Lepisosteus oculatus: one gene and its partners. Each later gene encodes a partner of the first gene's protein in a complex. Links are inferred from orthologs where the notes say so. Each region holds a gene or a part of one and is shown in the gene's direction. Other genes may lie near its edges.

Region 1 (10,390 bases):
CCCAATGCTTCCTGGAATAGGTTCCCAGCCACCTTAATAAATTAGATAAGTGGTGATGATTATTCATCTTAATGTGGACCATGCGCCAAACAACAAATACAGAAAGAAAACAGAAGGAAAGGAAACATTTTTTTCTCATACAAGTACTTGATTTGTCAAAGCATGGAACATGGCCTGGAATGGAACAAAAATAATCTACTCTGACCTCCTGAAACAGCATTCATCAGCATTTACTGTATATATGAGCATTTAGAAGAGTCCAATTGTTCTTGACATTATTTTCCTGTTGCCTGCAAATTTCTGATCTTCCATTCTACTGTACATTGGTGGTTTTGGGGTTCCGCTTTTTTAATTCTTTGGGGTCCTAGGTTCCTTGTTCTTTGGTCCCTCAGCCAAGCCATATAAGCCAAATTCAACAAACATCCAGAAACATGTTAAATTGGTGTGTGCTGATACTCCTTGTGAACCAGAAATATGTCTTAGATACACCAGGATCTGGAGAATGAGCTTCAGTCAGCCAGGGTAACCATCTGTTGTTCTATGTATTGATGAATTTTCAATCTAAACTGTAATTTGCTCTGTGTATCCATTATTATTGCTTGTTCAAATAATTCTAACAAATTGAGTCCAATCGTTTATAAAACTTTTCAAATTGTTGATACTATTTCCATACAGGTGATCCTCAGGTTTAACTCTAATAATCTTTTGAATAACCTTACATTTAATAAATGCCTGACATCAATTTACTTATAATTACTTGATTCAGTTTTCTCATGCATTTTATGGATGGAGGCTACATTAGCAATTCTACTACAATCAGGTATGACTCCTGTCTTGGGACAACTGTTGTCTTGGGGTAAATATTGGGAGAGTTGCATTAATGGCTTCTGAATGAAATATATTGATTCCTTGAGTATGATTTGTTCAGTCTTGATTGTTTGAAAAGACAATATATATATACAGTATGTACAAGCATTTCCTTTCCTAGGCAGTCCAGCAAACTGAGTAAGAAAACATTACCAAGTCTACCATTTCACTTTCAGCTGCTGACATTTCTATAGGTTTTCACCAGTCTACAGTATGTGGCAAAAGTTGAGGTCTTCCATTAAAACAACTTCTTCTTTAACATGTTGATTCTTAATTTCATTATACAGTATTGAACTGTAATCAATATCTGCATTTGGTGGTCTATTGCATACTCCTAGAACTATACCTCTGGAAATTGTAGGTTCCGAGACTCTTGATTCCCCTAGCTTTAGCTCCTGACAAGAATACTCTTTTTTATACATAATACTGCACCTCCACTCTTCTATCCATAATACTACATTCATCTCCATCATTTTCTATTAGCTCTGTTTCTGCGATTCCAATCTCATTTAGGTGTAATTTAGGTGCATCTGTACATATGTACATATGTATAGAAGGGCTCTGCCACTAAAAGATTTTGAGTTGTCAAGAATGATGAAGGGTTCTTCAGTATACCATGTCCTCATCGGTGTGTTGTAGATCCTGAAAAAAAAAAGTTAATTTAGCCCGTTTCATCAGTTTCTTTCCAGGTTGTTTTAATTTGTTCTGGATGGAAAAATATGTAGCATATTTTGCATTGACCCAATCAGTCAGTTGTGCTCCAGTGACTGGTGACCTTTGGAATGTTTTTAGCTTACATAATGCATACGAAGACCTTCCTCTTGTGCATGTTGTCCAGGCATTGTTGAAACCAGTCAAATTAGTTTACACGGCTCAAAACACCGTAGGCAAACTGTGGGATCCACCTTGAAGAATGACATGGTGTCTTTTCAAAGTTAAGGTCTGGCATCACAACACAAAACCCACCACCACATCACATTGTGAAGTTTAAATGGCCCTTTCGAGGTCACATTTATAGAACTGACAAGAACATTCTCCTAATTCTTGCAATTACAATTCTTACAAATTTCTCAATTTACATTAAGAAGTACAAGCCTTCGTTGTTTGAGTTCTCATGCAACAAACCCAGCACATTGTCAGAAACAATGCTGTGTCTAAATCTCTTGCAGTGCTAAATGTACTAAAAGAATCAGGCCTCTCTGCATGCCCTGATTCTAACAGTTCTGTACACTTTTGGGGTAGGACTGGCTCTTGGAGATTGTGATGGGTTTTAACTGTCCTGTCAATTGAAAAAAAACTAATTTTCTGTTAAATGCATTTGCATTGTCTGGGTTAGGATTTGTAAAGCAAACAACAAAACCAGTTCCCCTTTGTTCTCAGCATACATTTAATTTTAAACTGGAGTTGTTCCTAACAAGAGACAGTATTCCCAGTTTAATATAACTGTGGTTTGGAACTACAGTGGCAGGCTACACTTAATGAGTGACAGAAACCAATATTTTCAGTGAAAGAAATGAGATAGATGTTTCGTTTTTATGTGGTATTTGTTTGGACCTTTATTATTATCTCACAGGAAATATGGACTGTAGCCATGTTTTAAAAAAATCTCATTAAATCTGAGCAGGGCTTGATAGTACCCATTGCGATCCGTTTCAAATGCGATATTACATTACTGTCTGTTTAATCTACAAAGTGTGTACAGTTTTAACCACTTCGGTGCCTCAGTTCACTCAGGATGTTAAGTCTCCAAGTTTTGAACAACTTCAAAATTCTTTCATGACTCATTGCCCTAATCTTAAAACAGGAAAAGCTCACATTACACCAGATCACAAAATTTAAACTGTGTTTCAGAAGACTCTTTAATCTAGGTAAGATCAAATTACTCATTAGCAGCAGTTAGATCATTAAGCCTCTGTGTGCAGACAGGTGTGTCTGAACAGCCAGGAATGTGTGGAAGATTCTTACAGTACAACTTCATTATCACTAATTATGATTATTAATTTATTTGGCTGATACTTTAATCTTTAGCAATTTATATTTGCACCCATTTTTACAGATGTGTATTTTAATGGAGCAAGTCTGGTAAAGCGCCTCGCTGAACAGTACAACAACAGTGTCTCACCTGGGATTTGAACAGATAACCTACCAGCTCTTAGGCTCAGAACCCTTACCACTGCTTCCTAAATTTATCTATAAAATTGGGAAAGAGAAGTGGATTAAATGCTTTTCAGACCATATTTTGATAATTTAGTTGAATTGAATGCCTAATGTTTTGGAACATAATGGAGTACAACACACTATAGGTAGAAGTAGTTCAGGTGGGTAGCTGCATCAGCATGCGTAAGCTGCAAAGGAACAAGTAATAGGTTTATTCCATGCTGAAATGAGAGGAAAGAAAACACAACGTTTCAGGCAGTGGAGCCTTCTTCAGGTACGTTATTCATTCCTTACTCTTCCCCATTGGATGAGATGTTAAATTGAGCTCCTGACTTCCATAAATTAATTATTAAAGAGCCAATACCATTTCTGTACGAGTATGGGTGTTAACTGCGGTGTCTTGACTAAACTCCAATTTGGAGTTAAATAATCTGACCTCCCTATTAGTGACATAATTTCTCGGTTCTTGACCATATCTGTTGTGTAGTGGGATTGTTGTGCACCAGCCACGTGCACTTCAGCGGATCACCATCCTTATGTAAATCCTTTTGGGGTCTTTGAAAAGCACCATGCAGTTATGATCAAGTAATATACCTTTTGTTTAGTTATATTTTCTCATGTTTATAATTCCACCTTCACTTTAGTTATTTTGTAGATATTAGTCTAGAAGTTCACATACAGTTATGTTTATTAGTATCCATCTACAGTGCAGCAGACAAACGTAGATGGATAGAGAGAGAGACCTTCTTTCCTATAATAATCCCGTTCTCCTCATAAGGACCACAATAGTAGTACGATTTACGATTAACAAACGTGCAATTCTTACATTCCGCCCATAGGTGGCACCATTTCGATAGTTTTCAGATGAGGCTCAGCTCTTAGGCACAGAGAATACAGCGCAGTACTGGCGACAAAGAGCGCATCCAGTTGTTGGGTAATGTATGCTAATACAAGCACCTTTAAACGCTGTTCCTTTATGATAAACTCGTTGCTAAAGTCGCTTTTTAGAATTATGTAGTAGAATTGTGTTTTGCTAGATAATCTAATCAAAGGAACATTTATTTTTAAATCATCACTCGATTCCACGCGTCTTCAAAATCTTGAAATGTGCATTCCATTGTTACTGGTCTCTTACAAGCAACTGAAGCATTGGTAGCCTATTTTATATGTTTTTTTTTCCTCAAAGTTTAAAGTCATGTCATCAAAGAACATACTTTAAATTTCAGTTAAAATCTTTACTATTAAAGTTCTTCAGTGAATATAGGTGAAAGATCCAATATATTACACAGTACCTTTACATCTGGGGGTGTTTTGCATATGACCATACACAGATATGTACAGTATATACTGTATGAATGTGAATACGTTTCTGTAGCTACTCTAGAATCTATAGAAACATTTGCATTACATTCGTAAATTCACCGTAAATCCTAACGGACACGACTTGATTGGACGATCGAATTCACATACAGTACTATTATTATATTACATATACCGCAAATTTGTGAAATTGTTGGTGATGGGGGTCCAAATTATTTGTACGAAAGTACTGTATATTCTTACTGTCTAAACACATCACATTAATGATATAAGAAAAGTGAATTATGACAGGAAGTGGAAATTAATCTGACATATATTACTGTATATTAATGTTCTCTGAGTGTCTGATTCGTTGTTTGCGGAAAAGCAGTTGTGCTATTTTTAGAGGACCACTCTTACATGTGCATTAAGTTGGAATTACACTGTATGTTATTTTCTTATCAGAAATAAAAAGCGTCATGAAATTATGTAGCACAACTTATTTCTTACTCTTTACTCAAGACAGATTGAATAATAGAGATAGTAAAGAATATACTGGTTGGCGTTGCAGTTAAAATTCCTGCAAACTGCCTGTCAGAAAGTTATCTTGTAATGGGGTTAAACTCATTTCTTTGCCTCTTACTAGCGTCAATGGAGCCAGAGAATGATTCGAGTTTATTTTAAGTATCTTAGACAGGAGACCTTTTAAAATACACATTCTATCATTCCTTTTTCACCCTTCGCAGCGACATCAGTGGTCCACATCGCGAAGAACGCTATAGGCTACTAGTGAAGAACGGGCAGGCTCCAGGCTATACATTTCTTTTATCTTGATCGGTGAACAGCAAGAAAAAAGAAGCTAAAGGAGTCGAGTTAGTTTACTGTGAGAAGCAATAAGCACAGGAGAACTGCTTCCTACAGCTGTAATAATAATAATAATAATAATAATAATAATAATAATAATAATAATAATAATAATAATAATAATGGAGTTTCAGCCCTGAGAATCCAATACCTTTTCAGAATGTTCGCTGTTAGCTCTGGGGTTAAGGTAGCAGTATGACAGCCGAAACTTTAAAGCTTTATGAAAAGGGTAAATTTTAGGCTACAGTGGATGTAATTTCGCTAGGGGTGAGATAACCCTGAAACGCAGAGATGAATGTGTGAAACAGCATGAACATGCCCATGCGTCGGCTGAGCCGTTAGCTGTCCTTTGCGAAGCGAAATCAGTGAAATTATCCTTAAACTAATGGTACATTTCGGAAGTTATATTAGAAGCAGCGGTAATGCCGAGATACCCCGGTTAACAGTTGCATTAGCAGGCGAGAAAAACGCCTTACTACTAGTTTTTGATGTGGTGCCGCTTTTGGGAAAAAAAAAACTGGGAATTAATAATATCAAATGAAAAGGATAGCAGCGGCGCTGGTCCCCGAAACGGTTAATAGACTGCATGCAAATGAGTCCGTATGCTAAGAGAAGACAGGGGGTTGGGTCTGACGCTGTGCTGTGAGTAGAGTACTGTGTGCTGCCCGTGGTTCGGCTAGCACTGTGCCAGTCTAGCATTAAAGCTCGGCGGAGAGGGGGGAATATGTGTGTGTGAATTTCTGCAGGGAGGTTGTAACCCATACCAAGGAAAACGTACGATGGCAAGGCAAAATAAAGGCGAAATTAGAAGGGACTGTCTTCTAAACTGAAGGAATGTTCAACCTCACAGCCCGCCTCCTGCAAATAACCATTACAAGTCTTTTGAATGACAATTGACAATAAGGAACATGCTTAAATGCCAATATCAATATATAATCCTAAAGCGAGCAAGCAAGCGCGAGGCACAGTTATTGGTGTGCTGGAGCTGAATGAATGAACCAGCGTTGCTTTGCCAAGATTTTCCACGAATTCTGAAGGAATACATTGTGCACGAACGTGCCGTGTTCCGTCCATACCTGACAGCTAGCTGACTTACCGTGGGATTCTGAGCACTTCGGTGTGGAATTAACTAGGAAACGGGCATTTTTTGGAGGAGAGGAAGAAAGCCGCACAACGTAAATTGACTGATTTAAGAAAGAAACGCAAGCCCATCTTGATGCTGAATGGTGAGTGTTTTGAACCAGTGGACACATCGCATGTGCCGGTAGTATAAAACAAGAATGAATTTAGCCTCTAGTACTTAAGCATTTTGGTTTAGTCATGTTAAATATTATCGTGCTTCACTTACTGTACGGTAAATAACTGTTCCAAAACCCACATTTTGACTTAATATTTTTACTAACAATACGGCAACAAACTAAATTCCTCCGATGTGACATGTTGATGGTGCATGGAGTTTATTATACCAAGAACAGGGGGAGCTTTTGAAATATTTTAAGCACTTACAGTAACATTTTGGCATTCCAGTTGAAATGATTTTCTAAAACTCTCTGTTAACGGGATTGTGTCTTATTTTTTTTGTCATTTTCTCAACGCTTTGTAGTCTTTATACTTAGTATGATGCTGTGGCAAATTTTATTTTTTCTTTATAATACATTTTCTTTAAAACTGTCCGGAATACAGAATGTAATTAAGAATTTATTCAGAATGTAGTGTAGATACCCACATGTGATCATGTTCATGGTTTTGACAAGAAGGAAACCCCAATGTTTTAAAGACCAACTCTTATTTATTATTCGTTACATTTTACATTTTACACGTGAGTGTATACTCGCTTATCTGCCTGTACAGTAACACGGTTTTCAGATGGCATTGTTCTTTCTTAGAAATGCCTGTCTGCGCGAATTAAGGATTCGCGTTGTACTGTGGAAATATTTCACTCAATTATTTATTGGCTGAGTTAGTAACATTACATGCTATTTTGTTAACATGATATTTATTTTCTGCTAAATATTAAGACTCTGTCGGAAGTAATGTAATACCACGAGGCATTAATATAACCTTGACTGAGAATCTGCTCTTCAAACCAGTAAGGTGCTTCGAGGCAGTGAAGTACCTGGCTGAACTGTTCACGTTATTTGGTGTAGAAAGGTTTAGGATTCGGATTGTTTTCTGAGATAGGATAGTTCTGCCTGTTGTACAACCAATTTCTGAAATCGTGAAAGGAGCGGTCCGGCTATTTTTTAACACAACCTGAAATAATGCCTATCTGTTGTATACTGTAAACACAAGATTTGATTTTGGCTATTGGTTCCAGTGAATCAACTGGAGATGTAATCATCTTGATTCTTTGAATTAAGACCCCAAATTAGATTCCCTGGATATTTTGTGGTTAAAGATGAAGGCAACACTGCATAACAAGGACACATAATCACCGTCAAAAGAGCTGATATAATTTATCTTTGGTTCTTCTATGAATTGATTATGTTTCCCCCTTACACCTGATCCCAGCGATAAACAAAGTCCTGTGTGTTGTCTTTTGGTCCCAGACTCTGTAGGGTATGATGTGATTCCCTTTTTGCAAATGGAATCTGATGTATTGTTGCCAACTGGAATCATTCAGAGTTCCAGCTCCTCTGTTTCAGGACCGTTCATCTCATCTGTCGGTGACAGTGAAATAGCAGATGTACCCACAAATCTTCATTTTCCTGTATGGAGTAGTTAGGTTGCAAGTCGTGTTTGACACAAGCTCTGTAGATAATAAATGCAGTTTAAGGAGAAAATTGCTTGGCATTTGCATTAAAACAACTTCCATCTGCTGTGATTAGAAGAGTGCACAATAAGTGTGCAGTTTGTATAATAAACCCCTTTATCTTAACAAAGATTTACTAAGATAATTTTTTATACAATGCATGACCTCTGCACATAATTATTTAAATATCCATTTGCATCGTTAAACAACATTTTGACCTTCGACCATTGACTCACAAAAATTGAGTGAAAATTGCTGGGTTACAAGAATGGGCAAACCACATGCCAATAGCATATTTTATCACAGACACACAAAAACTTTGAAGTCTGAAACTTCTTTAGTCCAAAATCTCTAGAAAAAACTCCACTTTATTCCATTTTAAAAAAGCTCTAAAGTCTAAGCCAGATAACATAGACTTATCAGAACATCGGTGGGACACTTCTTTGAGCTTTAGATCTTACAGGAGTAAATATCAAAGAAAGCTTTTGACTCCGCAGTGCATCATACATGACACTGCTGTGTTTGAATATTGAACATGACATTATTGCAGAAACCATATCACTCAGATTTGGACACGGAATAAAAAATATATTTAAAATTGATCTGCTTGCCTTAAATTTATATTGTTGTACTGTATTATGTGTTACTTTACTGCATAGTACAGTATGTGCACGCGAAGCACACGCTCTGAACAGCGCACTGTGCAATTGAAGTTTGTAGCTTGTTAAAGAAGATCACTAATTTAAGGAATAAATCATTTTTATATTTTACTCTCTTTTTTCCTAATTCTTAGTGCACTTTTGCCCTCGTATTTCTGAGTGTACACAAGGCAAACGCAGATTAAAATTTAATCTTATCCTGAGTTTTCTTTACTTTTATTCATTTTTTATGACTTTTTTTCTTTGAAGGTACAGTATGGCTGTGTTTTCTCACCTCGCCAGTAATGCCTAGGAGAGTTAATAAATTGATTCACTCTTCATGTAGACTCTCAGTTTATTGGTGTCACAGACTGACTTCTGCACTTTTTAAAGGAGCTGTAAATTAGAAGGCTCTGTATGTTGCAGTACTATGTGAGCTCTTTATGGGCACAAACCACAGCACTGCAAAACAAACATCCTCTTTTTTATATGTTGACTCAAGACGGCCACAAATGATACAGTAAAAGGGGTATGGTATCTAGTAAACCAAAGCAACTGAATCTAATTTTCTTTACTGGAATCCTTCTATTCAAAAGTATCATTAAAAAAAATATTTTAAGTTCAGTTGCTCGACAGCCATTACTTGACATTTATAATTCTTCGGGTTTTCGCTTGTTCCCCTCAGCAAGTGCTAGAAAGTGCGGATCAGTGCTGTGTTTAGCACGCTTACTGTACATCCTTGTGTACTGTGCAATAAATTGTCTGTGTGGTTCCTTAAATGCTTCATAGCCCAGCCCTCAACAATGATATCAGTCTGCCATTCTGCTGGAAGTTGTTTCTTTAAAGGATCAGTTCTTAGAAGAGAGAAGAAAATAGGCTGGATCAGGAGCAGTTCTGGATCTTAAGACTGCAGACTGTTTAATCAATACGGTTAATGATACAAAGCTGAAGAAAATTGAGACAATAGAGACTATAAGCATACAGCTACTCCGTCCTGTAGCCATTTTTCTGTATTATTTGGTACTTAAACTCATGCAAACCAAATGAGTTCCTACCTACTCTTTTGAGCAGTTACATCCTTATCGTGTCGACCAGTTGCTTTGGTTTCTGTTCAGATGGTCGCCCCTGGTTAAAAGGATTTTGCCTACAGTGCCTTGATCTTAATCTATTGATTTGCTTATGGCAGTTCATTACATTAACTGTTTCCAGCTGGGTAATTTAGCTGTGTTATATTGTGGTATTTGTCTGTCCACTTTCCTGATTTCCAGTGGCATGTGTATTTTTTGTTTTGGGGGGTGGTGCTTTAGCAAATTTACAAAACCTCTTTCCCCCAGGCATAAACCATAAATTTGAACTACCAGAGTATTTCCTCCTCCATATATAGAAGAATCTTAAGATTTTTCCTCAACTGACTGCTTGATTTAAGTGAATTACCTATCACATGCTAACCTATCTTACATAAATAACATACTCTGGACTATGGATGCTGATTTTTAAAATTTTTATGGATATCTCAAGTTTTTGTAGTTTCATGCTGTTGATGTATTTGAATTTTGAATGGAAAGACATTCTGGTTTGTCAACTTTTGCAGTAGTCTTGCTGTCTGAATCCAGTAGGGAAATATAACCGTTATTTGAATAGCCTGTTTTGTAAACTATTACTAGATTTGGCCATCATCTTTGTTTTATGTGTGTTGTTCATTATTTAAAATTTGTAGTCTCCAGGAAGCAACAAATAGACAAAATAATTCAGGAAAAATATAGGCAAAGATCAGAAAACCAGCCAGAGTTAGCACAGTACACAACTGAAGTAT
Region 2 (9,799 bases), on another chromosome or scaffold:
GTAGTTCAAATGCTTACATGCCTTTCCTTGCCTTTCTGCACATTATGTCTAATTGCGAAAACTTAACTCTAAGTGTTCACATTTCTATTGCTGGTGAGTTATCCAATTCTGTCCCAGTTTATTAAATTTTCCCTCAGACATTTGCCTTTCTGTGTTACTTGTGGCACACATAAATATAGAGATTTTTTTCCCTTAGAGGATCCAGTTTCTTAGTGGAAGCTTGAGGATTATTGCATTAATAAAGAGTGAAACTTTACTTAACAAAAGTGAAACTTTTCAGTGGTATATATATTTACAATTAACCACTTGTCTGATCTTCTGGTTTCCTCTACAAATGGAGGATTTATTCTGTTTTGACAGTCCTAATTTAAATAATAAGGGCAGTATAAAATTTGGCATCTTGAAATCAGCAGCTTGGTTTTGTAAGTTTTGTAATACAAAATGCTTGTGCTGCAAATGTATTACGTTAGAGATGTTTAAATTGCAGTCCTAATTAGAACCCAGAAAACATACTCATAGAATCCCTCACTCATTATTAATTCAGGATCCATCAGTCTTCCTTGTGTCCCTAGAGAATCTTTAAATATTTTTTCTTGCTGTTATGCATATTTATGTATAGTTCCTAACCACTTCACTAAATGTCACTGTCACTTGTTTATTTCCTAATTAAAGCCTGATTTTCATTTGTGCATCTTTTCTTTTCACTGAGCTCCAACACTGCTGTAGTTGTCACACCAAAACTGTACAAAAACACTTTACATTTGTGTTTGTTTTCCTTTCTCTCATAATTACTACAAACGTGTTTTTTTTCATCTATTAATTCCATTCACATTTCATTTCACCTCACTGAAATCTCACTGGAGATAGATTGCTTCAGGCAGTACTTCTCCTGACCCCAGTCTAGTCAAATCCCCAATGTGTACATGAATAGAGGGGAATTTTAGCTTGCACGCCTGTAAACCTACCAGTATATAAGGCTAGCAGTACTGAAGCTAGATATAATAGTTGATGTGCTCAAGTCTTTTAGAACACATTCAAATGCAAAAAAATGAATGCTTAATTACCAATGTACATAAAATACAGATCTTGACAGAGACATGAATAATCTCACAGTGCTTTTAAGAGTAAGGTGCTCTATAATATAATATTATTTCCTTGTTTTGTTTTTCTAAATATATTTCTTCTTTTTTTTGTCTTTAAAAGCAGAGAACTTTGAACCTGTATGTGAACTTTATCACATTGCAAGGTAGCGGTAAATTCCACACTGAAAAGAAGAAAAAACAGGTTTCAAATCTTGTTTTTGGCTGTTGTGTTTCTCCTTTCTATTATTTCAGCATGGAATTACATTCTATTGGTCTTTTGCAGCCAACACACAATGACACAGCTCTCCACTTGAACCTCACTTAGCAAGGTTACATGTATGACTTCTTTTGGTATCAAATCTTTAACATTGTCAATGGCAATTGCCATTTATAGAGAATAGTTTATTACAGAGCATTGAAGGTATATACAAACATCTGGCTCAACCATGCACACCTCCTCTTTTGGATCATATATTTAGCTATCTCTTAAGAGCCTCTATTGTTCAGAGGAATGCTTTGACCCTTTTGACAGGTTTCCTTTGAATTTCCATTTGGGCTAATGGAACACTCTAACACTGTGTCAAAAAAGATGATTATCCGCCAATGCAAATTAAGCTTAGCTTCTTGAAAGTAGTGTAATGTGCAAACACTCATTTCTTGTGTGTATTTATGATGCAATGAAAGGTGAAGTTATACAGGAACAATCCTTGAAGGTCATGTAAACCGTGTAATATTAAGCAATTCAAAAGAAAAAAAGTACAGAAATGAATGAACAAGACAAAACAAACAAACCTTAGAACAGTATAATGTAAGTTCTGCGTTATAGGAGTAATGTGAGGACAGGTGTGACATATTCATTGGTTGGGGCACAATCCAAATACCCTCAGTCTTAATTATGTTGTTTTAAATTAAGTGTAGTTGAATGTAATATTGATTATTCATATAACGTCTTTTACAAGGTTTTAATTACCTTTTTGTAAAGTTTCTTTTTAATAACACAAACTTCTTTGTCCTCTTAACTTTTAAGAGTGTACATTAGTGTCTGTGATGTTAACAGGGGGTGGTTACATGAAAATAATTACATTGAAATCATTCAAACCATACTTTCAAGAATTGTCTACCTTTGTGTGCCACTAATCATTCTTTAGGGTCTTATTCAACATGATAGTATTTTGTCTAAGCAAATCCTTTAAATGGCTCTTTCACTGTTCAGTCACAATTCTGGTTCCTTCAGATACAGCAGTTGCAAGTCAATTTACACTTAGTCAATCCTATTGTTCACGTATAGGCTTTTTAATATTAGCAACCAAAAAGTCCAAAGTCATGTGAAAATGGATTTCCTGAAAAGTCATTATTTTGTTAAGAATAGATTAATTTGAAGAAGTATGTTACAGTCTGTTAAATTAATGTTTCTCCTGCCTAGAGAATGCAAAATTATTCTGAATTAAATATTCAATCTGTTGGATTACCGTGTGTTCCACAGACCTAACTTGATTTGGCAAATACAAAACTAATAATAGTATTTGGAGTGTTTGGTTAGCACTGTTTTGGATTTTAAATGTGTCTGTTGAGGACTTAAAATATATTTGTTTCTGTTTTCATGGAATGATATCTGACATAAACATAACCATCTGCTTTGACAGAAAAACACAGTAAATATTTTTCTCTTTATTAATACTATTGTATGAGGATATATTTAGTCCTCTTGGATTATCATTAATCAACAAAAAAGCAATGGAAAAATGAGAACAATAGTTAATGGAGACTTTATTCCACCGATATTTAAGATAATAAGTAGTCACAGCTGATCACATTTTAATAGAGGTATTGTGCTAAAAAAAAACATGTCCTTTGACATTACAGAACTAGTGCATAGCACTTGAATAGACCTAAATCAGATGAACTGATTTAGTCTTGCTGGCTGATTTTGACAGTATTTTACAAGGATATTTTCAACTTCTACCCACGAAGAAACATGAGACGTCATGTTGATTTGGAACTCACAGATAAAATAATTGAAAATCTACACTCGTCCGCAGAGATTGTCATTTCAAAAGCAGTTTAAAGCACTTTCAGAATAGTCTGGAATGCCACCTGTAAGTATAACAAATCTTCGGAGATATCCTCTGAAAATGAAGACACCTATAGACCATTAAAGCTTACTTGCAAGTTCCACTAAGAGGATAGAAATATATAGAAGTATCATTTGTCCTCAAAGATGACATTGGTCTTGTGCCTTTTTCAGTGCTCTGTAAGAATATTCTGTGTTTTCAATGAATTTTACATTCTAAAGACAGACAACATTGTCAATAATGGCAGATGGGCCTGTTTGTAACTCCTTTGAGCTGTCAGATGCATAATAAATTGAAAAAAAATATTTATTCAACTGGACAAATTGAACATTTTGTCTGGGTGTTTGTCTGACACATCTTGCCTCAATATTCCTGAAAACAAAAGTTGTCTTCCAGTCCTACTGAATGACATCACCTTTTGTATTTCTATTATTTGTCTAAAAGGTAAAGTTTACTATTGAGGTATTCCTGTATGACTCCCTTAATTGTGTTTGTGCTGTGTTTGGAATGCTGTCAGGATGTCTGGTTAGTTTATCTTTACCGGCTGGATGTTGCTCTCTCTGGCTAGGGGGTGTCTCCAGGGCACCCACGGAACTCAGGCTTTTCATCTTTAGGATCTACCCTGGTGTGTCCAGAAAGCAGGGAATAGAAACGCGCATAATTTTTATGGAATGTAAATGGTTTTGTCTGTGTGTGTGTCTGTCGAAATCTATTTCATTTGAGAAACATTTTCACTTGAAATGTACCTCGACGACTGCGACTGAATTTCATTTTAATTCTGCTGTTCATGTCTCATGCAGGTCTTTCCATTGTTACCATAAGCATTAGACTACGTACTGTATAATGAATGCAAGGCTTGTTAGGAAGCTTTTGTGGATATGTGCGATAAATGCTTTCAAAACGTTGCAATCAGACCCTTGTTCAACCTGAATGATTGACGCTATCAGATGTAGCGTTGAGGCGGTTTTTTGTGCTGCTGTTGTAATTTTGAAGCGTGTTGCTGTAATTGTGTGCTTTCCTTAAATAATTATACAAAACTCTTAAGCAGCTAACTAAAGCCCGATCATAAAAACAACTGCATTGTCTACCATATAATTTTATTGCCTGTGTTGGAATTTCATTATTCATACTTAAATGCAATAATCGTATGTCCACGTATACCAGGAAAATAAGATCCGTAACAGCGCACTGCTTAACTGAAAACCAAAGTTCGCTAATGGTACAGATATGGGTCAGATTCCTGTTTTCACAGTGCTAAAATCTTAAAGACTGCGGCACTTGCATCAATCTAATATCCAACTTCGATCAAACTCTTTTGTCACTGTTAAGGTAGTTGAGTAAACCAAGGAGTCCGCAATTCTTCTACAATCATGAAATACTTGGGTCTGTTTTACTCTTTGAATACTTTTCATCTGTCTTGTCTGACATATATCTGTTTTGGATAGGAGCATGTGTGAAACATTAAATATTGTAATGGGAACAGACATACCTTTTTACCAACTGTAAAGCTGTGTAGTGGAAGTTTATGTCCGAATAAAGCTTGAAATCCCTACTGGAGTTAAACATTATTCATTGGTTACATAATAATTTGGTTTTTTTTCATAGTCTCATGTTTACACACAACTGCTTCCGAAGGACTAAAATGCGAAAACAAATGTGGAACGAGCCGCTGCTGATGAACTCGAAGTTATACTCGTAGCGCAGAGGATTTAACTGTACATTCACCAGCCTTTGTAAGGAGACGCGTGTATGAGAAACTGCTGACCTATAGTCAATGACAATGAAGTTTCAGAGAGTATTATTATTATTATCATGTGGCAAAAAAAAAAAACAACCACGAAGCGCATAAATTAAACAGTGACATTTTTGACAACTGCAGCACCAATGTCACCCAGCTAGCTACCGCTGCGTGTCTGGCAAACCTGCTGTCAGACCCCGGCTTGCGGAGGCAATCCCAGCCGGCATAAAGGGGTGTGACCGAGCCGGCTACAGCAGACACACCGCGAACTCTTCCGGCGCTCGCACATCGTACAAAAGCAATGACGTGTAGGAGAACTTCGTTTCATTCTTCGGAGGAAGAAAGCAACGACGACTGCCCTCTTCTTCAAGTTCCCTCCGAGGGGGCTTGGTTTTAATGGGCAGTTTTCACTCCTCGTCGAGGCGATTAGGAATGCGAAGCCGGATCTTTCGGCAGACCCTCTGCTCAGTCCGATAGAGCCTCTTGAGCGAGACTCGGCGAGCAGCGGCAGCACCTACAGCGGCTGGTGGGGCGCGCGCGCGTGTATCTGTGCGCAGCAGCTTTACTCCGCGCTATCTGATCCTGCCAGAAAGGGAAATATTTAAGAGGCGAAGTGGCTTGGCTCACGCCGTCTTCAGATCCTTCCTGTGCTCCTTTTTTTTTTTTGACCGCCTTTGGAGTTTTTAGATTTTCGTTAAATCTGCTCCCTCTGGAGGATTGTTTTATTATGTGTCCCAAGCACTGAAATCGATTAATACGGTTCCCGCTTCGAGTTGACACTCACACTGGATATTGATTCGTAGACCTGAGCAGGTGAAGTAGTTTTATTCTTGCTTCTAGTGTTGTACAATATGAATGGAGATGCACAATGGACTGAGCGATAGCTTGCTGATGTGACTGCGGCTGTTTCTTTACATTTTGAAAATTGGTTACATTCTTCTGCGAAAGGACATCAATATATCGATTTGTATTTCGGTTTAGTCCGTATTATCTATTTCCATATCCAGAAGACGTCTAATAATGATTATATATTGGCTTTACGAATATTGAATCTTTTAATTTACATTCTTAATTCGGACCCTTGTGCCGGAATGAGCATGGGCTGTAGCTTGCCCCTTAGTTTGTTTCGTGTCATGTCCTCTTTTTTAAAAAAACAAATGTTACAACACTATTTTTCAGTCATCTACTCATTGACCTATTTATCTTGAATTTTATTGAGGGACATTGTATAGACTCGATCATAAACCTATCTAATTAAGAATAATACTGATGAGCATATTGTGGAAAAGTACGTTGAATTAAAATTTTACGCTACAAGACTTCAAGATTGGGTCTTGTAAATTTAAATAGCGTTAAGGGCCGTATTCCTTACGCCGAATATAAAGCATTCCTTTTTTTAACAAAGAAAAATAACAATTACTACAGATCGCAGACCATAATGCATGTCGTATCTGAAGACTTTAAGGATTATTATATGAGAAAACGCATATTAAATTTTCCAGCCTAGTGAAGTTTTTAAATCATCCATTTGACCAGTGATAAAAGTTGAATGGGGGGGGGGAGGCTTATCCGTTACTTGTCAAAAGAGTTAAAAGACGGTAGCCCGCTTTGTTGATTAGCAAGTTTCGTGACACGCAGGAGATGGATGCAACGCTCTTCAAAACGCGAATCGACGGAAAGTGCGCCTGTGTCCTGTCACTTTCGTGTCTGCCTCGTATCTGCAGAAGCGGATCTGCGTCTTAAAGCAGCCGCTACCCTTTCTTTGTTAACGAGGAGGGTTGCCCCGGTCAGTTTTGCATATTGTAATCAAACCAATCAGTAATTCGCTGGGGGAATTCAGCTGTAACAGCCCAGCCAGTGCACCGCAGTAAAAGGGGGGTGAAAAGTATTCTTAATTTAGGGGAGTATCACTCGCTTTAAATCCTTATAATGGTAATACCATTGTACAGATGTTTGTCTTGCCAGATTTGAGGATGTACATGTGAGTTTGCCTCGCTGAACCTCTCCGCTCTTTGCGATAGAACAGCGCTAAATCGCGAACCTTTTTTTTGTTCTTGTTGCAGAAGGATTGCTTCTCGGCTTGCTCATCATTTACAAGGGGGTTTGGAAAAAAAAAACGGGACTTTTTTTTTGTTTGTTTTATTGGCTTAGACTTCTTGACTAGGAAATGGCAACGCCAGCGCCCGGGAGAGGGACAAGTCTGGGGAAGGAGAGAGGAAATCAGAGCTAAATGACAGGATGCAGGCGACCTGAGACACAAAAAGACGCATTTCTACAACGTTGAGACATTTCTTTTCTTTTCTTTGCTCAGGCCAAGCAGGAAGAAAGAATACCCGACCAAGGATCATTAAGGAGTTCTGTTTTCTGTTTTTTATATATATTTTCTTTCATCATGAGGATTCATTGTGGATTAGTGTTTCTCCTTTTAACCGGAATCGTCCTAACTACCAGAGCTTTCAAAACTGGTAAGCGAAGACTGATGTCTGACTTGAATGACTTTTAAAACGTTATGTATGTTTGAGTTACGTCGTTCACACTAACACAGTTCGTAAAAGCTAGAATAACCATGATTAAAAAATAATTTCGAAAGCCTTTATGAAAGTGCAAGTGACCAAGTTTAAAGGCGATGTATCTGATCCCTTGATACAGGAACGATCCATTTTCAGTTTTGCGGAACTTTTCTGTGGTAGCTAAGTGCTTAGTGGTTTTCTATGCCCAAACAGGGTTCATTTTCATTAAAAGCTGTGGGTTGCATTGTTTTCTAAACGGATACTGTCTACTTTATAATATATATAGGTCATGTAGCCTGGAGAGGAGGTTCATTTATTTTTGTGTCACCAAAAACGCCTTTTGGAAGCCTACAGAATTCTGATGTCTGTGTAAGGAATGCAGCATCACAAGCGTAAGCAAATAGTATACTTTTCCAGTGTAACACAACTATATCTGTCAAACCAACTGGAGTCTTAGGACTTTGACTTAGGATTTTGCCACACACCAATCATGAATATCGGGATCTATCCTGTTACTGTGGTCATAATTATTACAATCAGAAGTATTAACAAACATCTGATTTTTTATTTTGGATACATGTTTAAATAATAGACACAGAGGTATAGACACTAATTCAACAATCAAGGAAACGTTTATTAGCAACTTGCCTTATTCGTATTATTTTCAGCCATCGTAACGTGAAGTTCCTTGAAGGTTACTACTACTATTATTTGTTAAGCAGACGCCCTTATCCAGGATGATGCGATACCAAAACGGCATTCACCCGTCATTGTGAAATGTGAAATTGATTTAAACTTACAGTAAGAACCGTGCATGTACCACAAGCTAAGAAAACGAAAGTTAAGCTGTATTACTGACAGAGCAGCGAAACTAACCAAACCACGGGATCGTTTGTCTTAAAAACTTGTCGGCCTTTTCGGCGCAAGTGGTGCTGTTCCATCTGCTGGCCTCGGTTAACTAAAGGCTATCAAGTCGGAACGTCGCCTTAAAGCACATTAACCTTGTCTTGTGCTCCCGGGTCCCCCTTAATGCGACTGTCCAGCCCCCTCACGCTGCTGCCCGCTAAATTAATTCATTATCCCGGTCCTGGGCTAATGGCTCTCAGTCATTAGGAGTTGTTCTTTCTAATCAACTGTTAGTGATGTTTCACAGAGACCTAACGCTTACCATTTTTCTGTCACTTTCTAAAAGCACGACTCCAAGCACCAAGAGACAAAGGTTAATAGTTTTAAAGACTTAAAGGGATTTCTGTCCTCGGATATCATTAAGAGTTCGTTTTAAACTACAAGTGTATAATAACAGTGCTCAATTATAGTCAGAATGTTAATAGTCTCTGCTGTAGCCTATCCCGCCCGTAACAAATTGAGTTTTTCAGTCTTGTCCTTTATCATAACGTTTGCTTAAATTGCATCTTATATGTGCTGTCTGAAGGCCCACTTTAAAGCTTTTTTTTCCTTTCATCGAATGCAGGTGAGTTCATTTCATCAGCTAATCTGTTATGAATAAAATATAGCTCGGTGGACAATAGCAGCTCAATAATACACTATCCTCCCCGGCAGGCAGTACCCCATTGAAGTGACAAATTCGCTACGTGATTCTTAGTTATTAGTTTTAGGCAGCTATTCGTTTACCGTAGGAATGATTGGAAGCGGCGTTTAATATTGCTGAACGATATTCTGAAAGCCTTTGTGTTAATATGAGCATATATACCACATCTGTTACATTCTTCCATTGCGGATATATAAAAAAATAAATTTTACTTCTTTACACCCCCTGGGTGCTCGTGCTTGGATAGCCAGATTCGTAATCTTTTAAGTAAAGCTTTCTGCTTCATTAAGTCACCTTGAATCTGAGAAGTCTCGCGTGTAATTACTTTTTCGAGGTGGAAGTGACAGGCTCCTTTGTATGCTGCCCCGTATGGTTAACGTTTTATTTTTAATAAACCAGGTGTGGTTAACAACAGAAACGGGGACTGACGAAATCGATTGTTTTTTTTTTTTAAAGCTGGCACGATTTTGGTTCGAAGTTATGTCCATTGTAACGTAGAAGTCGTCAGTGGTATGCATGGTACAGTGGAGTATGCTGTACACTTGCTAATTCAAGCTCTAAAACAAGAGTTAGATCGTCATGTAGTTTTGTGAGGAGGGCAAGTCTTATCTCTTCGCCGATTTTATACCGTTCCTGTTGGGCTGATAAAAAGTTTCCCCAAGCACTTGTACATTCATAAAGCCGGTGATCAGAAAGGGTGGTGGACGTGGCTTGGAGATCGAAAGTACCTTCCTTTGCAATGTGTGGCATTATCTTCTACGCCCGTGGTCAAATATACGACATCCATGGGCCTCAATAAGGAGAAAAGCCCAAGAAACGCTAATTTGTGCTGATATCTATGTATTCCC
Region 3 (9,976 bases), on another chromosome or scaffold:
CATGGAGTAAAATTATACGACAAGGAATCGCAGGGAGTGACTAATTACACGATTCATCACGGTTACAAATCCCATATTGCAGCGCAGGAGTACCTCGCCTCATTTTGGCAGCCAATCAACGTGGAGCACACCAGAATAAGGGGAGGGACAACGCACGAAAGTAATCAAACAACAAACACGAAACGACAAACGCGAAACATCAAACAGATATCTGTCCTGGCTCCACAGTACGACGGGCGCCTCCTCCATTTGCACAGTTCCTTCTTTCCTTACAGTCGCACTGTATGCTCTGTACTTCCGGTTGTGCACTCATTGGCTGTTGACTGTCGCAGACAGAAGAGCCCATCCCTATGACTTGCCACTCGCTACAAGAAAATTTAGCCAGTTTGTAGATGCTATGAAGAGCGCTATGACTGAGTCGCTGGGGGTGTCACACTACACAACTGACAGTAACGGGCATGTGCTGCAACTCGCTGTGATTTTTTTATGACTATGTAAATGAAGGTTACGACTGAAAGTCCTAGGAAAAGCCAGCATAAAACGTACTCTAGGAAGGTTTCGTTTAGGTTTACTGCTCTTTCCAGATGAAAAGCAATGTGTCACAGACACAGACAAACTTAAGATTTTTGAGACTTATAATTATTTTGGGAGCCCTTTTAAGTCTTTCTCAGTTTCAGAGTACTTTTTACTGTGCTATCTACTTGGTAAATTTATTTTGGAGAACCTAAGATATGAAGAGACATTTTGTAGAGACTTGAGGAGAAATGTTTTCCAGACAAAGTGATAATTGGTGACGCCAGATTCCTCGCTGTCAGCCAAGCTATTTTGGTTTTGTTTTACTGTGATAAACACATGAAAACTGACTTCATTCTTTTTATAAGGAACAATATTGTAAGCTGATGTGAGTAACTATTGACGATCCATTTGTAAGCATGTCTTTTTTCATAATTAAAAAGGGAAGGTATCCAAAATGCTCCTTTCATTACATTAACAATTTTACATTGCATTAGTAGCTAAAATTGTCTTCATTAGCCCTATAATCCACTACTCACCAACGCTACTAAGAAAGTTTTTATTGGTGCACTCATTTTTGCAATGAGATGTCAAAATAATCTGCCTTTCTTTGCCAAACAATAATACTAGGACTGCTTATTGCATATTAATCAATGTATTTCTTTGCAGCCATCCACCTCTTAATAATCTGTATAAAACACAGGCTATTAAATTATCATCATAGACCTTTTCTTCCTTGACATTGAGAACACCAGAACTGAACATGAATTACAGTACAAAATAGATATGTATTGTGAGATAAATACTATTTTTTCATGGTTGCACTTAATAAATCCTTTAAAATACATTTATATATGTAGCTGTTAAACACACAATCATCTTTGTTTTTTTATTGGCATGTTATCTCATTCACTGAAAGACAAATAGAGGAAGTATTAAAAATAAAAGCTTATGTTTACTTTCAAGTACTTTTAATAAAACACATATTTTCATTAACATCTCCAGACTATGCATAGCTGTGTACATTTTTTAATACAAATGTTCTTTCCCTTACACTCATATCATAGAACTGTAACTTCAAAGTTTCTAGCCTTCAGAGATCTCTAGACTAGCTGAAGTTCACAGCTTAGAAACCCTGGACTGAGCTGGCACTGTCATGAAAATGTGCCATAGACCTTATTTCATGCCAAGTGTTTGTGGGACAGGAAAAGCGCAGATAGAAATTTAGTGAATCTAAAAGACAGGTCTAAAGCTTTCTCTCAAGACTAAATGATGTGAAGTACTTTAGAATGTCATAGGCATTGTGGAGCCACTCTGTAGGTTGAAAAAAACTTAAGCAGTAAATAAGTCAAATATCAGTGTACTTATCTAGTACGATTATACCAGATAATCACATTCAATCTTAGAGTCTGCAAGAGAAGTTTCATCCAATAAGATTTATGTGTGTGGCTGAGTTTTTGATTGTGAAGAGCTTTTGCCAACATGAAAGAGACATACTTTATAAGCAAGCAATATAACCTTTGTGCCACTGTAATATGGCTACTTTTGCATCTATTTACTTGTGAAAAAAAAGAATGAGATTTTATCAGATGTTCCATGAAGAACAATGTCATCCCGGATAACAACACAATCTGGTTTATTGCTTTTCAACCAAAATATGTTGAAGGCAACAGCTGCACAACCCCACAGATTCATCATCTAATAGTATTGTTTTCTCTAATAGTGGAAGACAGCCTGGGATTATCTTTTCCTCCCTGCACTAATGTTTTTTTCTTAATACATACAAGTTAATTGCTAATTCCTGTTGTCTGTCTCACATAGTATTCTTTGTGAAATGTAAAGTTATGTGTCCAAACCTAGCCAACACTTATTATTTTATATTGACAGTCAACCCAACTTATTCAGACTTATTCAGAAGCAATAGTGAGATGTAAAAAGAGGACACAAGTGGAACTACTGTAGAATTGGAACAAAGAGGAACTTTTGAAGGATTGGAAAGAAGTAATCTAATTGGCTTCTTTCAAGAAACAACTGGAAGAAATTTTCAGACTTAAGTGACCTACAGTAAATGGGCTTAATAGTCTCTTCTCATTTGTAACTAACCTTTCTTATTTTCCTATGTTCTGAACTTTGCTGCTGTGTATAGAAAAAATCAGGAATCAGGAAACCGGCTAAAGTGAGGCACAGCCCACATCCTTAAAGGCAGTGGGTCAGCACACCAGCCCAGGAACGTCAAACCTATCTTATCCATCTGCATAATCATTTTACTTCAGTGGCTACTAAACAAGAAATTCCAGGAAGAAATCATTTCTAATAATGGATTACAATGACAAGACTTTAAGAAAACAACTTTGAGGTCTTGACGTGGGCAGCATTTATCTTGATCTAAGTCCAGCAGGACATTTGTGGGGAAGCACTCACTAATCCCATCCCCAGCAGACAAAATGAGACCAGCCAACCTTTGCAAACTGCACAAAACAAGGGGGAAAATCCAGCTGTATTCTGTCCAGAAGCTGTTTTCTTCAGAATTTCTATTGACGCTGTGTGATATCTGTCTTTAATACTTAATTCAGTCTGTGAGAATAAAGAATTGTTTTTTTGTGCATTCGAATATGTATTTTAAAAGATATAATCAAAACCATATTTTAATTTTTTGCTTAAAAAATACTATACTGTATGGAAGCTGACTAAAGGATCATCATTGTTCTGGAACCTGTGCTCTGGAAGTTTTATTATAGTAAGCATTCTCTTGATACAAACGCGAATGTACAAAACCCACGTGAATGAGTTCCTGTATTTACATGCCCTCTAGATAAATAACTATCCAGTGAAGGTAGACTAGACTCACAAACATCACTACCCACCCATGCATGCCCCTCACCGTCCATCAGTGTACATAAAGAGTGCATTCTTCAGATAAAAAGTGGCCTTTACAACAAGTGAAACATTGTCTAATCCAGTGGCAGTGACATGCTGCATAGGAACATAAGAAAGAGTGCATGCGACAAATGACCATTTGTTTCATCTCATTTTTTAGTTTAGTAACTAAATGAAACTAAAATTTTGTCCAGCTGTGTCAGAAAAGTGCTCAGAGTTTTGGCTTCAAGAACCTGGCTGGGAAGCTTGTTCCAGATACCCACGATTATCAGTGTAAAGAAATCAGTGTCCATCCTGAATAAATTCCCTTTTAGTTTCCAATTTTGTAAAACAGTCCCATGGTTAAACCTATCTATATCAGTTTGAATCTTGTATGCTTGAATTAAATGCCTTCTTGACCCCTCTTGTTCTATACTGAAGATATTTAACTCCCTTAGATAGCCAGTATTTGGCAAACCCCCGAAACCAGGAATTATTCTTGTGTCTTTATTTTGACCACCTTCTAAGGCTATAATATACAGTACTTTTTGTGGTGTGGTGAACAGAAGTGAACATAATGTTCTACATGAAGTCTTATTAATAAAAGGCTTAAATATAACTACCTTGGATTTAAATTCCACATTTTCTGTTATATACTGTATCCAGGATTTCTGTTTACTTTTTTATTGCAGCTACAAATATTGATAAGGATACAGAAGAAGGATACATTAATATCCATGTCACTTTCTTCCGCAGTTTTCTGCATCTCCTAATCACCCACGATTGACTACAGTTGCAACGGCTGGTTATGTGACATCCCGTTATATTCTATACTTTATATATTACATTTTAAACGAAATTACATAAAATAGAAAGCAGCCTGGCTACATTGGTTTCGCGTTTGTTTTTGTCTGATTAGTGATACGATAATCTCACGTGTACATATAACAGGGGTTTTGAAAAAATCATTAAATCGTTATTTGTTATAAATCAATTGATATCCTGATGAAAACGTATCTCAACTTATATTATGATCTCCCAGGTACCATTAATCATCTACGACACAACAATCATGTAGAAACAATTTTTAGCAAACCTTTTGCTGGCTAAAAATAAGCAAAAATAAGAAAACTGAATTAAATTTTGTAAGTAGTTACTATTGTTATTTACTTCAATTGAGTATTTTTTAATTGACTAGAAATTAATAATATCACTTTCTGTTCACCCATTAATCATTTTAGAAATGAATCATTTATAAACTATTTCGGTCTTCAACACTGTGTACAAAATCACCTGTCGTGTAAAACAGTGCGTCTGTATTACAGCCTGCCAAGCCTGTCATCCGTGCGCTTCGTCATTACTCCTATAGATAGATTGCTATAGAGGTAATCCCTTTACAATTGCGACTTTGAAGAATTGAGAGGGATTTCTGGAGATGTATTTTGTATGAACGAGAGTTCTTGTACCACAAATATCGCACAGTGTGCTAAACGAGCAGCAGAACATAGTTCCTTAAGAAACATGGGTTTATGCACAAAAAACAAACCATGTTCAGCACAACTGAAATCGCAATACCGAAGCAGCAACTTTAAAAGGATTTGCTCTCCTCTTCCCTCACAGAACTGATTGGCTATTAAGGGGATCAGGGCGATTAGAAACACTGTGCCTGGAAAATCCCAGCCCACCGGAGTTGGGTTTCTTCCTCCATGACAAAGGAGAGTTTAAAAGACCACAGTTTAGCCGCCTAGAACTGCATTTCGTCTGCTTTTCGTTTCAATAAGTATACGAAACTTATAAAGCCACATTGTTTACCATGTGTAAAACTGTAGAGGAGATATTTTAGTTTCCTACTGAATTGTTGGTTCCTTCCTAGAAACTGCGCACGTGAGACAGGTGCATTTTACGCATCATTAACCCATTTTAACGACAACACAACCAGGACATCAGGGTAAAACAAGGTTTACCTATAAAAAACCATTGAATTATTGAACATATAAAAATAATGTAAGTAGTAATGCTAAGTAAAACTCACTCTCTATTTCTATTTTTTTTTTAAATTATAGACGTTATGGTTCCGTTCAAGTAAACATTTGGTAAATACTGTATGGACGGTAGCACAAGGAATCCAAATCCACATGACTGTGATCCAGTCTGGAATTTAACTCCTCCCCATTTGTAGCGAGTGACAGCTGGGATCGGTGTGCGCTAGTAAGAAACCTTCATCTCCAAATAGGATGACTAGGAGCTTTTGTGAGGAGCGGTGTGCTAGCCTGCTGCGAATGAACAGGGTTCGGGACACTACATGGTCAATTCTTGGAGGCAAGATTTATTCTGTTTCGGTTTCCTTAAAGGATTTAAACAACATTGGCTTTGAAAGTGGATTTCTTCTGGATTTTCTCGCTTGAAGAACAAAAGTTGTTGTTCAAAGCTCCCTCACGGTCTGTATGACAAAAGCGCGTACTCTTCACAGATTTCTAAAAGAAAATATTCTACTTAAACACTCATGTAGTTATACGAAGAACAAAGATACTTTAAATCGGAACTGCCCAGGCAAAATCTTAAATGGATTACTAACGGGACGGTCTTGCAGCTAGTTCTGCTATCCTTGCCTGCTGCCTATTCATGAGCAGGAGGTAGAGTATTTTTCTTAAGTTTCTTTGCATGCGTGTCTCTGGATTGTTTTTTTCCTTATATATAAGTGTATGTATTATTATTTTGCATATTAACACGACGTTGTCAAATATGCAACTTGTACAGCAAGGCTGGCTGCATCGCATATTCTCTTTCATTCGAACAATGTGTTTTCAGGGACTATTCTATTTGTAATGGTCTGCCTTTATTTTGTATAAAGCAAAGCTATTTTCATATTTATTTGATTTTGTAATCACTCTATGTTCAAAGTCCCTTAGTTAAATATAGAGACATTTTCCACTCCGTGTTTTGCTAGAGTAAAATACATGTAGTGACAGTTTTACTGTGGATATATTTCCCATCTAAAAATGTGAGCTGCTCAGCTTGTAACTTGGCAGTGTTAGCTACTAGGAAGCCTTCATAAAATTGTGAAGTCCTGTCGTAAAGTTAACAGAAACATAATATAACACTAAATAATTTAAAACATATCTCCACTTAAACTCAATTTTGTCTTTCAAGGGAAACATGTTCTCACGTCTGCTGGTTTACAGAAATGTATCCGTATATATGTGATCTTAAATAAATCCTTAAGCTTGGGATTTCTCATGTTAGCGGAGTGACTTTATGTGCCCCTGAAACAAGATGAGCAACAAAACTCATCTTGTTTTATGTATATTTCCAAATAAAATTTAGAGTAATCTGCGCTGAGTGGTCCTGAAGATTTTCATCCGTGACACGGAGTCTTAAACCAGTTGCTAATGTGTTTGCGTCAGTGCTATTGATACTGTGTACATCAGACTGTGCATTTTACAAGCGAGGTTCCTTGTATCTGGAAGAGATTTTATGCGTATTGGGCAAGTCTGTGAGATTCAGCTATTTATTGATTTTACAGCAACTTCAGAACTTGTAAAAGTTTAGCGCAGCTTTCCTGAAGTCCAACATGGCGAGAAAAAACGTACCTTTTAGGTCAAGGCATTCAACTCTGAAGTTCGGGCAAAACACTATGCCACTTGCCTTAAGAAGTTTTAAGGGACTAAAGTAAAATAATATTCCAACAAAACACCAGCTTCCCAGAGGTACACGGACCCAATACACGCAGAGGCTGTCAGGATTCAAATGCGTGAAATTTTAAACAGAACCATTAGTCTTTTATGATAGTGTCACAATGTATAGTCGCAATGTGCAGTATAACACTAAACCATGTGGATAATTAAGGAGTTGGCATTTGTGTTTAAACGAAAAATACCATATGCTTTAGGAACTAGTTCTTTGGAAAAAGAACGTAGAAATATACAGTATTAGTCGAGTGCCTGTTTGCAGTCTGGTCTCGGGTTTTTTTCTTTCGTTACATTAATTTGAGCCATTTGTAAGCAGGGGAAGAATAAAATGAACCACATCCCCTGGGTAGAGCACAATCGCTGACAGCAACGGTGTTAGGATTAAATTGACCCCCGCTAATACGTGTGCCGCCTTGTAACCAAGTCATGGCGCTGAGCGCATCCTTTCCTACGAGGGAGGTGTGTAGTAATATCACAGCCTTTTTGTGTCAGTTGAAATACATCGCTATTTAAATATATCTATATTACAGTCTTAAAACCCCTTTCTATCTTTGTGCACTTAAAACGGAACGTTTTCGGGAAGGAAGTGAAAAACGTGAAACGGCATAACAGAATAGGTTCAACAAAGATTTGATTGCAGTTATACTTCTTGGATAACTACCTTTCTGAACACAGTTCGTTTTACCTCGGGTTTTTTCATAGGTAAATAATGCGTAGAGATCAGACACCAGGTTAAATGGCAATGTAATTATAAATTACTCACTTAAAGTATTTATAAACTGTAAACCAATGTAAATTCATTCATGCCACTCAGGTTTACATCTGTTACTTTGAAAAAGGTCAGCATTTCTGTTGGTTTCATATAAAACTTATTTTATGAAATGTGTTATCGAATTGATGTAACATGTTAACCGTTTAATGACTTACAGAGAATCGGAAACCGACGACGACTATTTACAATAAAGACGATAATGTTAAAAATGTAAAGCTACGGAATCTGTTTTTCCCACGTTATTTTTACCCAGTGCGATCTTCATGAGCATCATCTCAAAAGTGCCTTTCTAACTCGGGGTACTTTAAAAGTTAGCATTCAAATGCTTTAACCCAAGAGATCTTGAAACCAAATAGTTAAAAGCAGTTCCTACTGAAATCTGCATTGTAAATTAGGTTTTGTGTTAAAAGAAGAAAGTTAGAGCTTCAGAATACTATGTAAAGGGATTAAAATACAAAATGAAGTACTGTATCAAGATGATTAGCAGACAGCCATCCACTTGTCTTAAATTATTTTGTGATCATGCATTTCTTGGAAATCCATTGTCCTTATTCAAGTGTCTGGCAAGTGCACTTGGAGTTGGGTTTGATGTAAGCGCATCTGTGCTCGTCCTGAGTTATGGCCTTGCTAGATTGTCACTGGGATCTTCATCTATTAATCATGGAGCCTGCTTTCTTATTCGGTTGCCATAGTTTCAAAGCCTCAGATAGTGTTGGGGTGCCTTGGGAATGGCTGGAAATATTGCAGGGCAGTGCTCTTAGCAGTCATTTTCAATGGCATCATTTGCTCCAAAAAGCATAAAAGCTTGCAATATTGTGTTTTTTTTAATAAAAGATTTTATGGTGAAAAAAATCCCATGGATCTCACCGTAATTATGCCTGATATATTTTTTGTATGGATCTCAAGCCATTTGGTCTGTTTACGTAGTAGTTTTTTGGCCTCACACTTGAATTTGCTGGTAGTTTACAGTTCAAAGATTAATGGCTGCCTTTGCTGCCAGACTAGGGAGGCTTTTCATTAGAATTAATGAAGAATGGCTGGGCAGAGGATTGAATTTAAATATTGGCAAAGAATTTCTGATAATGTCGACAATGTGCAGAGAACATTTCTGTTTCTCTTACATTAAAACAAGAAGTATACTAAGGCAGTTTATCTTTAAATCTGTTTGTTCAATGGAAAAAGGTATTAAGCCAAAGTAATATGTGAATTGATAGATACTTTATTGATCCCCTGAGGGAAATTGCAGATAATTAAAAGTTTAATGTATAATTGGATACTTTATTACACTTGAAACCCTTGTGATGAGAACAAGTGTTTTTCCTGAAAACCTGTTTTTTATGTTAAACCTGAATTTATAATGAAGAAAGCTTTGCCATACACTCCCCTCAAAACTGAGAAAACCTTTGAATATGGAGTAAATGTGTGAAGTTTTTTCACTTTATAGCTATCAAAGATCTTTTGTAGAGTAAGTATCTGCAACTCTGTTCAACTCCATCATTTTCAATAGAGATATTAGTGTTGCAATGCAAAAAAAAAAAAACACTTTCCTGATCAAAGCTTTCCTTTTTCTGAAAGGCTGTTCTTATTCATATCCAAGTTATGATTTATCCTAGATTAGTCCAGGTATTTAGTATGTAGTAGAAACTACTTTGATAATATAGAATAAGAACCATTTACTTTGGTCTAGCTTATATAGATATATAAGTATCTGACTTTTGGTCTCATAGTGATTGTTACAGTAGTATGAATTGGATTACGTTTGATAAAAGTGGTAAATACATGAGTTGCTTGTTCTAAGACCTTTATGTAAACTGTGTTGGTCTAGTGACTGAATAGTATTGTATCCAACTGTGTCTTCGAATGGCTTCCACTGTTTCTGTTACCGATTTAAAAGTAATTTGCAGGTGGTGTGTTCCCTGTACAAAGGACCTAGTAGTGGCGCCTGTATGAGTAGTTGTGACAGTGATTTATTTTGGGACCTGGTTGTTCACAAAGTCTTTTGTATGCCTCAGTTTAGTGCTATGTCACATTTATAGGACATCTACCTCAAAATGTGGTTTACACTGCTTGTTTGTGTCACGTCTTGTAATGCCTGTTATTGACAATGGTAAAGTATAGTGTAAAATGTTTTATGGAATGTCTTCAT

Evidence for each region.
Region 2: the proteins of plxna2 (region 1) and nrp1a are in contact, whole or in part, in a crystal structure (PDB 4GZA), measured with the Mus musculus proteins. The link is inferred for Lepisosteus oculatus from reciprocal best matches to the Homo sapiens genes PLXNA2 and NRP1. Residues at the interface, in NP_032908.2 of Mus musculus: Asp273, Leu274, Phe275, Glu306, Lys341, Gly342, Gln343, Lys344, Gln345, His348, Pro350; in NP_032763.2 of Mus musculus: Glu78, Arg80, Asp81, Lys83, Tyr84, Asp126, Tyr127, Glu128, Thr129.
Region 3: the proteins of plxna2 (region 1) and sema6a are in contact, whole or in part, in a crystal structure (PDB 3AL8), measured with the Mus musculus proteins. The link is inferred for Lepisosteus oculatus from reciprocal best matches to the Homo sapiens genes PLXNA2 and SEMA6A. Residues at the interface, in NP_032908.2 of Mus musculus: Ala93, Cys94, Tyr95, Pro96, Lys155, Gln192, Asp193, Tyr194, Asp220, Phe221, Val222, Pro229, Ser230, Asp231, Leu386, Lys389, Val391, Thr394, Lys395, Ala396, Pro397, Val398, Leu407, Asp408, Ile409, Asn410, Gln411; in NP_061214.2 of Mus musculus: Arg108, Met109, Lys110, Gly111, Met162, Ala163, Thr188, Phe190, Leu191, Ile193, Tyr198, Thr206, Arg208, His212, Asp213, Ser214, Glu219, Gln266, Arg267, Glu270, Lys271, Lys393.

The regions. Positions count from the first base shown.
Region 1 is NC_090700.1:34,369,453-34,379,842, forward strand, and holds the start of plxna2 (plexin-A2), read left to right. Parts: upstream 1-5,857; 5' UTR 5,858-6,413; intron 6,414-10,390. UniProt on the Homo sapiens protein: Coreceptor for SEMA3A and SEMA6A. Necessary for signaling by SEMA6A and class 3 semaphorins and subsequent remodeling of the cytoskeleton. Plays a role in axon guidance, invasive growth and cell migration.
Region 2 is NC_090701.1:39,059,886-39,069,684, forward strand, and holds the start of nrp1a (neuropilin-1a), read left to right. Parts: upstream 1-4,929; 5' UTR 4,930-5,705; intron 5,706-6,720; exon of another isoform or gene 6,721-6,873; intron 6,874-6,955; exon of another isoform or gene 6,956-7,203; 5' UTR 7,204-7,284; coding exon 7,285-7,357; intron 7,358-9,799. UniProt on the Homo sapiens protein: Cell-surface receptor involved in the development of the cardiovascular system, in angiogenesis, in the formation of certain neuronal circuits and in organogenesis outside the nervous system. Mediates the chemorepulsant activity of semaphorins.
Region 3 is NC_090698.1:53,819,753-53,829,728, forward strand, and holds the start of sema6a (semaphorin-6A), read left to right. Parts: upstream 1-5,544; 5' UTR 5,545-6,002; intron 6,003-9,976. UniProt on the Homo sapiens protein: Cell surface receptor for PLXNA2 that plays an important role in cell-cell signaling. Required for normal granule cell migration in the developing cerebellum.